Linked DNA regions of Macaca fascicularis. The protein of the gene in region 1 purifies or fractionates together with the protein of each later gene. This does not show direct contact. Links are inferred from orthologs where the notes say so. Each region holds a gene or a part of one and is shown in the gene's direction. Other genes may lie near its edges.

Region 1 (5,906 bases):
TACCTCGCAGTATTGCCGACCTCCCCTCATCTCCCTCTCCTCTATAAAGATGGTGCTCTTTAAGCTTCAGTCACCTGGCTCTTCTCTGAGTCTCATATTCTGTATGGCAACCATGCACACTGCATGTCAGTAAATTTGTATGTGGCTTTTCCTGTTAATCTATTTCCAGTTTATTTCAGCAGACTCAAACTGTAAGAGGGGAAGGGAAAAATTCCCTTCACCCCTACAATCATCTCCTCACCTGCCCTTCCCTGTTCTCTGTGCCCGCCCCCTCCAGTCAGCTATGCCTCTTGACTGGCAAATTTCTGTGTTCTGCCCGTTACCCAGGCCCACTCAAAACAAAAAACTGCAACTCTTCCCTCACGTCTTCCTCTCTGCTTAGCAGCCAAGTCCCTCCCTTCCATTTCTATTTTTTTCTGGCTGCTATTTTAGAACAAAGTGGCATAGTGGGGGAAAAAAACATGGATTTTAGAACAAGACAGGCCTTAGTCCAAATCTTAGGTCTACTATATTTTGGTTTCCTTGGGTAAATTACTAACCTCGCTAAGGCTTAGTTTCCAAGTCTATAAAATGGGCATATTGCCCACCCTGTGGAGGTGCTATGATTTAAGTATGCATCAAGTGGTAAATAGAGGGTCCTTTTGTTATTTTCACCTCATATCAGACATCTCCTGCTCACAAACCTTCAGAGGTTGCCCATCACTTGACTATGACACCTGAGCTATAGATTTTGCATTTTGGCCCCCTCTCTCATTACTCTTCCCCCCAGTTCCTGGGCTCAGACTAATCAAAAACATTGGTTGATGGCCAGGAGTGGTGGTTCACACCTGTAATCCTAGCAGTTTGGGAGGCCGAGGCAGGTGGATCACTTGAGGTCAGGAGTCGTAGACCAGCCTGGCCAACATGGCGAAACCCCGTCTCTACTAAAAATACAAAAATTAGCCAGGTGTGGTGGTGGGCTGCTGTAATCTCAGTTACTTGAGAGGCTGAGATGGGAGAAGGTGGAGCTTGCAGTGAACCAAGATTGCGTGCCATTGCACTCCAGCCTGGGCAACAAGAGCGAAACTCCGTCTCAAAAAAAAAAAAAGTGACTGATTCCATTACTCTTTCCTCTTTCCTCCCCGTTTTCACTTTGCCGTTCAAACCAAATCCTTCTTGATTAGTTCATCACCAAGTACTGGCTCCCTCCTCAGCCATCTCTGTGTAGTTCAGTGGCACTTGGGGCCAAACTACCTGTCTTACAGATTAGGCAACTCCAGATTACAAAGCACTGAAAGCAGGGGCTTTATCTGGTTGGCCTTTTACCCTCCAGAGCCCCTTGCACACACATGATGCTCAATAAATACTTGGTGAAAGAACAATTCATTTTCTGTGTTTCAATGGGCTTGTTTTCTCTATAGAATCAGATGCTTGGTTATTCTCATCTCAGCGCTATTTTGTTGGCTTCCAGAAGGCACATTAACACTAGGTGTGTTCTGTTCTATCCTTTAATTGGAAGAGCTTTGGGAACTGAAAAACAAGAATTATTTCTCCAAGCCTCATCTTCTGCCACTCCCCCGTACTCACCGGCCTCATACAGGAATTGAACTACTTAGCACTGCACAGAACACGACTTTCTCTTTCACGCCTCCGTTCCTCTGTACTTAGCCTCTGTACTTACGTGCCATTCCCTTTCCCTGAAATGCCCTTACTCTGGCTTCTCTGCCTGGCAAATTCCTACTCATCCTCCAAGACTCAGCTCAGACATCGCCGCATCACGTCTGTGAAGGCTCTTCTGCAATGGGCAGTGTAGCAGTCCCTCCTCCATCCTTTTAGCTTCCTCAGCAGCTCCAAATAATTATAACAGTACTTATGGCATTATTTGTTAATTTTTCTTCGACTTCCCTAGACAGTGAATTCCTTAAGGGCCAAGATTTCTGTTCTATACCCAGCACAGTGTTCAGTCTCTATTAGGCACACGATTCAATCAATGAGCAAACAAACTCACCAATCATTCCACACTGCAGAGTTTGTACGGACCGGATTCTCAAACACTTCAAGACCTGGTCCTCTATGTGGAGCGCTTCATGCTGGAAGATCTCTTCCTCCCCTCAGCCCTTATCCATCCAACTGCCTCGGTTTGGTAGAAGAGGAAAAGAAAGTGATTAGACGGGGGAAGAGTCCTTCAGGGCCAAGTTGTCATTTACCTGTTCTGGCACCGAGAGGGTTACGGCGACCCGGGGGCGGAGCCGTGCCAAGGCCACCTGCTGCGGGGCGGTCTGGCGCATGCGCCCTGGCAGCTAGCTGTCCCCACCTGTGGGGGCCCGGCCGAGAAGGAGCGCCTGCGCTCTGGGCCTTTTCCGCTGGGGGAAGTCTCGCGGGGGCGGAGCGGGGCGGGGCCTCGTGGAGAAGTTCTCGCGGGATACCGACGGGGAGCGGAAGCGAGGAGGCACTAGTGCTTCGGCGACCGGGCGGCTGCGGCGTCTGTGTCAGAGGCTGTGTCTGTGCCTGTGTCTGTGGCGGTGACGGCGGCGGGAGCAAGCGCTGCCCTCGCGGAGCAGCCTCTGGGTCGCAGGCCGCTCGCAGCGTTGTGGAGGGGCGGGCCGGACGCTGAGCGGAGCAGCTGCGCCACGGTGAGTGCGGGAGGCTGCGCTCGGCGCGGCTCTGGTGCCTCTTCCTCACCGGTCTGCAGCGGGAGTGGGCCCCGGGGGAACCGGGACCGGCCCCGGGGTTCGGGTCGGGGCGGCGAGGCTCGGGACGTGGAGCGGAATCCCCGGGGCTCCGGACTCTACGTTTTCCCTTTTGGGGCGCTTCCTTCCTGGGGACCGTCCTCCTCCGGCTCTCGGCTCTGGGCAGTCCGGGAGTCCAGGGGAAGAGGTCGGGGCTCCCTGGCGAAGTCCCCTGCCTTCATCGGGAGGGTTTGCACGGAAGATGCCCGGGAAGCCCAGGCGGGCAGAACGCCGGCTGAGTCAGTCCGCCCGAGCCCGGTGGCGGGGGACTTGGTGTGGGTTGCAGCTGTGGTGATTGATGTGCTTTCGACCTGCACGGCAACCACGTCACCATCTCTTGGCGTCTTTGGGCTTAATTTTGTGCGGGAATCTACCTTGGGGTAGAACGTTTGCTGCTGGAGCCGGGGGAGATACCTTTATTCTGACACTTAAAAAAAAAAAAACTATTTGAAAAATGTTTGTCAAGAAAAATTCAATAGCAGCAGGTTGGACTGCACCGAGGAAGGATTGCGGCGAGAGCGGGCGCTGGTAATTTTCATTTGCAGCGTGCCGTCTCTGTGATTGTAAGCCACATGTGAGTTATGGCTTGTTTAGAAAGTTTTTCAAGGCTAGCTTCAAACGCTATGAAAGTGCGGTTTGCAGGGGACTGAAGTGCACTTGAGGTCTATCTCCTCTTGATGTTGTTTACTTTCAGAAATGTCAGACACATGAGAGAAATTAGCATTAGTCTCTTTTGACTTTCTTACCTCTCTTTCACTTAGTACTTCTCCAGTTATGTCCTTCCTTCTTTGCTTCTGTCCATTCCAATAGGGACACGAAATGCTTGTGTAATGCAAGTCATTTGTCCCTTCCTCCCCCCATCACCCCCTTTTTTTTTTCTCTTATCTACTTCCCCTTCCTCCTTGTAGTCCCCACTCTGGCGTAATTTTCCGAGGTTTCTTCCCTTTCGTGCTGTTCGTTTTCTCTCATTTCAATATTACATCTTTTTTCTCGGGAAGAGACTCTCTTTCCTGCTTTCGTTCCTTTACTTTTGCGCGTTCCCTGCAGTCAGCCAGAAGGGTTGCTAGAGAGCTGTGGGAGGCTGAAGTCCCCTCTCTGAGAACAGGGAGGCTCAAAAGATTGAATTAATCCCTAAGAAATCAATCCTGCCACTAGGTCACAAGTGTGGTTTGCTTGTGTTATTTTTGTCTTTTAGTCTTTTTCTTTTAAGATTATGCTTTTGTGCCTGCTTATGCCTTCTTCTAGTATGTCTTTATAATAGTAAGGAAGATTGGGTCGGCTCAGGGCTTACGTGACTTTTTTTTTTTTTTTTTTTTTTTTTAAAGGCAGAGTTTCGCTCTGTCTAGGCTGGAGTGCAATGGTGTGATCTCGGCTCACTGCAACCTCCACCACCTGGGTTAAAGTGATTGTCCTGCCTCAGCCCCCTGAGTAGCTGGGATCATAGGCGCTCACCACCACACCCAGCTAATTTTGTATTTTTAGTAGAGATGGGGGTTTCACTATGTTGTCCAGGCTGGTCCTGAACTCCCGACCTCAGGTGATCCACCTGCCTTGGCCTCCCAAAGTGTTGGGAGTACAGGCGTGGGTCACTGCGCCTGGCCAGAGTTAATTCTTATAATCAGCTTTCTCCTACTAAACACAAGCATTTATTTATTTATTTATTTATTTTATTTTATTTTATTTTATTTATTTATTTTTTTTTGAGATGGAGTCTCGCTCTGTCACCCAGGCTGGAGTGCAGTGGCTGGATCTCAGCTCACTGCAAGCTCCGCCTCCCGGGTTCACGCCATTCTCCTGCCTCAGCCTCCCGAGTAGCCGGGACTACAGGCGCCTGCCACCTCGCCCGGCTAAGTTTTTGTATTTTTAGTAGAGACGGGGTTTCACTGTGTTAGCCAGGATGGTCTCGATCTCCTGACCTCGTGATCCGCCCGTCTCGGCCTCCCAAAGTGCTGGGATTACAGGCTTGAGCCACCGCGCCCGGCCTTAATTTTATTTTTTTGAGACGGAGTCTTGCTCTGTCGCCCAGGCTGGAGTGCAGTGGTGCTATTTCGGCTCACTGCAGCCTCCATCTCCTGGGTTCAAGCGATTATCCTGCGTCACCCTCCCGAGTAGCTGGGATTACAGGTGCTCGCCACCAAGCCCGGCTAGTTTTTGTATTTTGGTACAGACAGAGTTTCACCATGTTGGCCGGGCTGGTCTCGAACTCCTGACCTCAAGTGATCTGCCCACCTCAGCCTTGGGATTACAGACGTGAGCCACTGTGCCCTGCATAACTCAAACATTTAAATGTTTGAGGCACTTTACCCCGTCAGCAAGTTACTCAGATTTGAGAGGCTTGCTGGGTTTTAAATACTACTGGTTGATGGTACTTAGAGATTCTTCTCAGTAATTGCTGTTATCACGTCGCATGTTGTGCATCAGAGTTCTAATTATTACACATACAACAGAAGAGGAATGGATTTTGGAGAAATGAAGTGGTACAGAATAGAGAGTCACCATGCCCTCCGGAGAGAAATTAATACTTACTTGCTTAATTCAGAGGAACTGTCCACCATTACTGAACGGCTTTTGAAAGTCTCTCTTTTTTTTTTTTTTTTGGTCAAAGTTGCCTTTTTCCTAGTGGTACCAAGTGAATATGCATTATTTTCTTTTTTTTTTTTTTTGAGACGGAGTCTTGCTCAGTCGCCCAGGCTGGACTGCAGTGGCGCCATCTTGGCTTACTGCAAGCTACGCCTCCCAGGTTCACGCCATTCTCCTGCCTCAGCCTCCCAAGTAGCTGGGAATACAGGCGCCCGCCCCTACGCCCGGCTAATTTTTGCATTTTTAGTAGAGACGGGGTTTCACCGTGTTAGCCAGGATGGTCTCGATCTCCTGACCTCGTGATCCACCCGCCTCGGCCTCCCAAAGTGCTAGGATTACAGGCGTGAGCCACTGCGCCGGTGCATTATTTTCTTTCTTTCTTTTTTTTTTTTTGAGACAGATTCTCGCTCTTGTTGCCCAGGCTGGAGTGCAATGGCACGATCTCGGGTCGCCGCAACTTCCGCCTCCTGGGTTCAAGCAATTCTCCTGCCTCAGCCTCCCAAGTAGCTGGGATTACAGACATGAGCCACCACGCCTGGCTAATTGTGTATTTTTAGTAGAGACAGGATTTCTCCATGTTGGTCAGGCCGGTCTCGAACTCCCGACCTCAGGTGATCC
Region 2 (5,376 bases), on another chromosome or scaffold:
TTTGTTATTCATTTTTTGTTCTTGTTTTTGTGTTATTTAGATTTCTGGAAAGCATAGTTTTCTTACACCTTTGAAGGACTGTACCTGTGCTTCAACCCTAGATTAAATCCTACTCAAATGCTCTTCCCCTCTCCCCGCAGATCAACTAAGGTTCTGGTGTGACTGTGAACCATAAAAGGATCTTGCCCACCGCTCTACCCCTAAAACATTACACAGTGGCTGGCATATTCCAGGGGGTAAATAAAATTCTTAGTTAATCTTCCTCATCTCCAACCTCCTAGGTCAAATTTGAGCTGATCGTGTCAGAGGCCTCCTATCTGCGCAGTCTAAACATAGCTGTGGATCATTTCCAACTTTCAACCTCACTCCGGGCCACACTTTCCAACCAGGAGCACCAATGGCTCTTCTCTCGTTTACAGGATGTGCGAGACGTCAGCGCCACGTGAGACCCCCCTTCTCTCAAATCCCACTCACTCAGCCTCGCTGTTGTGAGGCTTTAAATGTTCCACTGTTTTTTCCCCTGTTAGAAACCCTTTCATTTTCTTATGAGATGGGATGAAATTGGGCCTCAGTTTCTTCCATGATTCCTGATGGCTGTAGGAAAAAGAATAGCAAGAAGAGGAGAGGGCCTGTGGGTGGATAGATCCATTAACGGAGAAGTAAATGAGCAATGCTTCCTGGGTTGAGGTTTTGGATGACTGTGGTCATGCACTACATTGAAGATGAGGTGGAAAAACCATCTAAAGATCAGAAAACCTGAACAGGGTCAAAAGAAGAATGAGAAATGGAATATTAGAATACAAGTGTTAAATTAGGCTCAAACTCAGGACAGTTTTGGAGAGAATTCTAGTGCATAGCAAGGTGCACAGAGCAAAGGAGAGTCAATAGAAGTTATTGGCTAATGGAGTGAAGAAGTCACCAGCTCAGTGTACATCAGGGGCCAGTCAACTGCTTAACTGAGGCCCAGAAGTCTCATGAGACTTGTTTAAATCCTGTACAGGTTCCTTTCAGACCTGGAAGAGAACTTTGAGAACAATATCTTCTCCTTCCAAGTATGTGATGTAGTCCTGAACCATGCCCCAGACTTCCGCCGGGTCTACCTGCCTTATGTCACCAACCAGACCTATCAGGAACGCACCTTCCAGAGCCTGATGTGAGACTCATCCTCCATTCAATCCCCATGTAGGCCTGCAGTGACCATGCACCAGTCTCCAGCCCAGCGGGCTATCCCAAGAGCACACTTCCCCATCCCGCCCTCCGTGTTGGTTCCCCCAACCATCACATCTGAGCGCCCTGTACATCAGCTCCCACTGCTCTTTCCCAACCCACAGATATTCCACTGAGCTCCCTTCCCCGCACCTTCACTGCATCCCCATTGGTCCCCACATCCCCCCTCCCCTAAGGCTCGCTCTCCATGCAGGAATAGCAACAGCAATTTCCGAGAGGTCTTGGAGAAGCTGGAGAGCGACCCCGTCTGCCAGCGCCTTTCCCTCAAGTCTTTTCTGATTCTGCCCTTCCAACGCATCACCCGCCTCAAACTGCTGCTCCAGGTAGGGCAGATGCTACCTTGATCCTCTCCCCTTAACTCAAAGGGATGCCCTCAGGAAGACCCATAACAAAGGACCAACCATTCTTCTGCCAGATCTCCACATCCTGTCTCCCTGCTACCCACTGCCTGGTTGCTTAGAAATGTTTGCTGCTGAAATGGGGTCCCTGGGCTTCTCCATTCACCAGCCCCCAATCATTTCTTCCTGTTTCCCGTTTCTTCTTCCCCTATCACTCCTGCCCACTGTCTGTTCAATAGAACATTCTGAAGAGAACACAGCCTGGCTCCTCGGAGGAGGCAGAGGCCACGAAGGCGCACCATGCCCTGGAGCAGGTAGGCAGCCACCACCTCCAATCTGACCCTCCGACCCTCTGTGTGTTCTTCCCAGAGAGGTCTTCCCCGCCTAGGCCCGTGACTCCAGGGAGCATGGGAGGTGGGACCCTGTTGGGAGAGCTCAGCCACCTCCCTGCATCCACCAAACTTCCAAACATACACACCCCACGGCCACCTGTCCCACGCTGAGCACGCTCCACATCAAGGGACTGTGCCCTCTCCACCATCGCTCCCACATTCAATCTCATTTTTACTCAGTCCAAGAATGTTCTTCCGGGTCATGCAAAGTTGCCCAGGACTTGTGCTTGATACTGCCTGCCCAATTCCAGCCTGTGAGAAATGACCGAGGCTGTCATAACCTATTTCCAGATTGCTTGCAGGGGACTCAAAGGTCAAAGCCTCTAACACGGTGCCCTTCCCCTTTCCTCACTCTATGCACCCCTAGCTGATCCGGGACTGCAATAACAATGTCCAGAGTATGCGACAGACAGAGGAGCTAATCTACCTAAGCCAGAAGATTGAGTTTGAGTGCAAAGTGAGTCGGTCCCATGCATGCCATCCCTGCCCATGAACTCCCTCAACATGTCCTGCAGATGACCCCTAACCTGGAACCACCTTGCTCACATTATCCCCAGCCCCTCCCCTCATTTCTGCCCAACTTCTGTTCTGTCCTATTTCTGGGAGGCCTACTTCGGTCTCCAAGACATATTGCTAAGTGAAAAGAGAAGGTAAAGAAAAGTGTGTGTATTATATCACCTTTGGTATAAAAGTGGGAGGATACAAATACATACAGGTATCTGCTTGTGTGTACATACGGAAACTCTGGAAGGAGAATAAGAAAAAAAGGAATAGTGGTTACCTGAGGACAAGGGGGTGCATTTGAGAAATGGGCAGATAAGAGAGAACTTTTCATGATGAGCCTTTATAAAACAATGTTTTGGTGCTTGAGTCATTTATTACTTTATCAAATCTCTTTCTAGTCTAATCAAACCTACATAAGATTGGATCCAAATTTAGGACCAACATCCTTCATTGAAATACAAATCTAAAATAGACATTCCACATTCGAATTCCAACTTAGAACAGATATCATCTTTTTTTTTTTTCTTTTTTTTTTTTTTTTTTGACAGAGTCTCACTCTGTCGCTCCAGGCTAGAGTGCAGGGGTGCGATCAGCTCACTGCAACCTCCACCTCCAAGGTTCAAGCGATTCTCATGCCTCGGCCTCCCGAGTAGCTGGGATTCCAGGTCTGCACTACCATGTCTGGCTGATTTTTGTATTTTTAGTAGAGATGGGGTTTCACCATAGTGGACAAGCTGATCTCCAACTCGTGGCCTCAAGTGATCCACCCATCTCTGCCTTCCAAAGTGCTGGGATTATAGGCGTGAGCCACCACACCCGTGGTTAGAACAGATACTATCTTTACACTCCTGAAAAAGAAAGAAAATCCCTTATTCACATACTAAGCATAGACCACACCCTCATCTATAACCAAATTCCAGCTCCAAGACGCCCCACCTGGTTCTTCTTCTCACCCCCACGTTTGATTCCAACTGCTCACATATCTCTGGTATAATAAAAAATGGAATTGATACCAGACCTGCCTCTGATATTTTAACCTCTAAGACACATACAGTGTTCACTGACTTGTTCCATCACATACCCTGATTGGACTCTTCCATCCCTCCTTCGGTTCAGGCTTCTAGGGCAGAGCTGTCCCACACACTCACTATCCTGAGTGGGACCATAGGCATCTTCTGTTTGCCTGAGCATACAACCATGGGATCCACACACCAGTGGACAGTGGTAGTTAGAGGGTTCAGAGAGAAAGAGAATCTAAGTGATGGGTTATGAGCCAGAAGGCAGATGTGGAAGAGATGCTTGTTCGAGGTGGAACTTGCATGGAAGTGTCATGGGGAGGAGGGTGGGACCAGGAGCAAACCTCATGCTTCTCCCATATGTGACACTGCCTTCTCTCTCTTCCTCTGCCCTGTAGATATTCCCGCTCATTTCTCAGTCACGCTGGCTGGTGAAGAGTGGGGAGCTGACAGCCTTGGAGTTCAGTGTTTCCCCAGGGCTGCGAAGGAAGCTGAACACACGTCCAGTCCACCTTCACCTCTTCAATGACTGTCTGCTGCTGTCTCGGCCCCGAGAGTCAGTGACTGGAGTGGCGGGCCAGGGCACAAGAGAGGAAGGGGATGAGGCAAGAGGAGGTCGGAAAGGGAGAGAGACAGGTCATGTTCCTAGAAGAGCCCTTGTCAATGGCTTAACCCATAGAGCCCAGGTCATAGCCTAGAGAAGAGAAAAACAAGCCCAAAGCAAAAAGGGGATCCCATCAAACTATGTCATGAGACCACATGGCAGGACATGTACTGTGTTATAGACACAGAGCAAAATGTAGCAAATTAGCTTATCACGTTCTCATATCAGTCTATTTGTGGCTTCTTTGGACTAGGCTCAACCTACTATTCTACAGATACTTAGCTAATTCCAGATCTTAAGTCTCTGGTCTTAAGGTTCTTGGGAAATGTATATTAATTCTACCTCTTCACCTCTTTAAAGTGGTAATGTATCCATTGCACTAGGTGTGTGGTTTGCCAGACTAGTGACAAAGCCCTGAGGACCCTGGAGCTACCATCTTGGGAGCAAGTTAGGACCATCTTGTGGTTTTTATGGGAATTTGCAGGCTGCAGATGCAGGAATTTTGAATCCAAGGTTATGAGGGTAGGTGAAGTATGGAAACTCTAGAATCAGGTTGAAAGGATTTGTATTTTGCAGGGGTAGCCGATTCCTGGTATTTGACCATGCTCCCTTCTCCTCCATTCGGGGGGAGAAGTGTGAAATGAAGCTACATGGACCTCACAAAAACCTGTTCCGACTCTTTCTGCGGCAGAGCACTCAGGGCGCCCAGGCCGAGTTCCTCTTCAGCACGGAGACTCAGTGAGACGGGGCTGGGCAGAGGAGTTGGGGATGGGGGAAGATGGGCAGCCTAGAAAAGAAGTGGCACCAAGACAGAAAATGTGTCCAGAAAACAGCCACGGCCTCGTTTAACCCATTCTGGACTGGGGACCACCATAGAGAAATCCAAACGCCTGGAACTAATGGATAACTTGCAGGAGATTGCGGTGGGAGAGGGTACAAAGTCACCACCGAGGCCTAGCATCTATTTTACACTCTTTACTCAAGAAGGACCAGGTCTGTGTGGTATCAGAAAGGAGAAGGACTGGTATGGAGTGAGCAAGGGATTGGAATACTGATATCTGTGGGCACCTGCCTCCATGCCTGAGGCAGAAGCCCTTCTATGCCCCAGCTGGTGCGCACAGATGTGAATAAGACAAGTGCCGGGTGACTTTCGCTTTCTGTGCTCCCATCTTCCAACCCAGTCCTCTGTTGACCAGAGATCCATAGTGTTGAGAATGCTTATTTGCTCATGTTTTCAATAATAATAAAATAAAATGCATTCACACAGACATACACTTTTGAGAGTATTAATAGGA

Evidence for each region. Proteins that work in one complex are often made in the same cells at the same time.
Region 2: the proteins of GRB2 (region 1) and ARHGEF5 purify together in Homo sapiens (affinity purification with mass spectrometry; 4 studies listed by BioGRID and IntAct, with this or other methods). This does not show direct contact. The link is inferred for Macaca fascicularis from reciprocal best matches to the Homo sapiens genes GRB2 and ARHGEF5.

What each region holds. Positions count from the first base shown.
Region 1 is NC_088390.1:81,806,214-81,812,119, reverse strand, and holds the start of GRB2 (growth factor receptor-bound protein 2), read left to right. Parts: upstream 1-2,416; 5' UTR 2,417-2,612; intron 2,613-5,906. UniProt on the Homo sapiens protein: Non-enzymatic adapter protein that plays a pivotal role in precisely regulated signaling cascades from cell surface receptors to cellular responses, including signaling transduction and gene expression.
Region 2 is NC_088377.1:186,018,482-186,023,857, forward strand, and holds part of ARHGEF5 (rho guanine nucleotide exchange factor 5), read left to right. Parts: intron 1-281; coding exon 282-442; intron 443-1,000; coding exon 1,001-1,153; intron 1,154-1,420; coding exon 1,421-1,550; intron 1,551-1,804; coding exon 1,805-1,879; intron 1,880-2,324; coding exon 2,325-2,414; intron 2,415-3,875; coding exon 3,876-4,033; intron 4,034-4,657; coding exon 4,658-4,819; intron 4,820-5,376. UniProt on the Homo sapiens protein: Guanine nucleotide exchange factor which activates Rho GTPases. Strongly activates RHOA. Also strongly activates RHOB, weakly activates RHOC and RHOG and shows no effect on RHOD, RHOV, RHOQ or RAC1.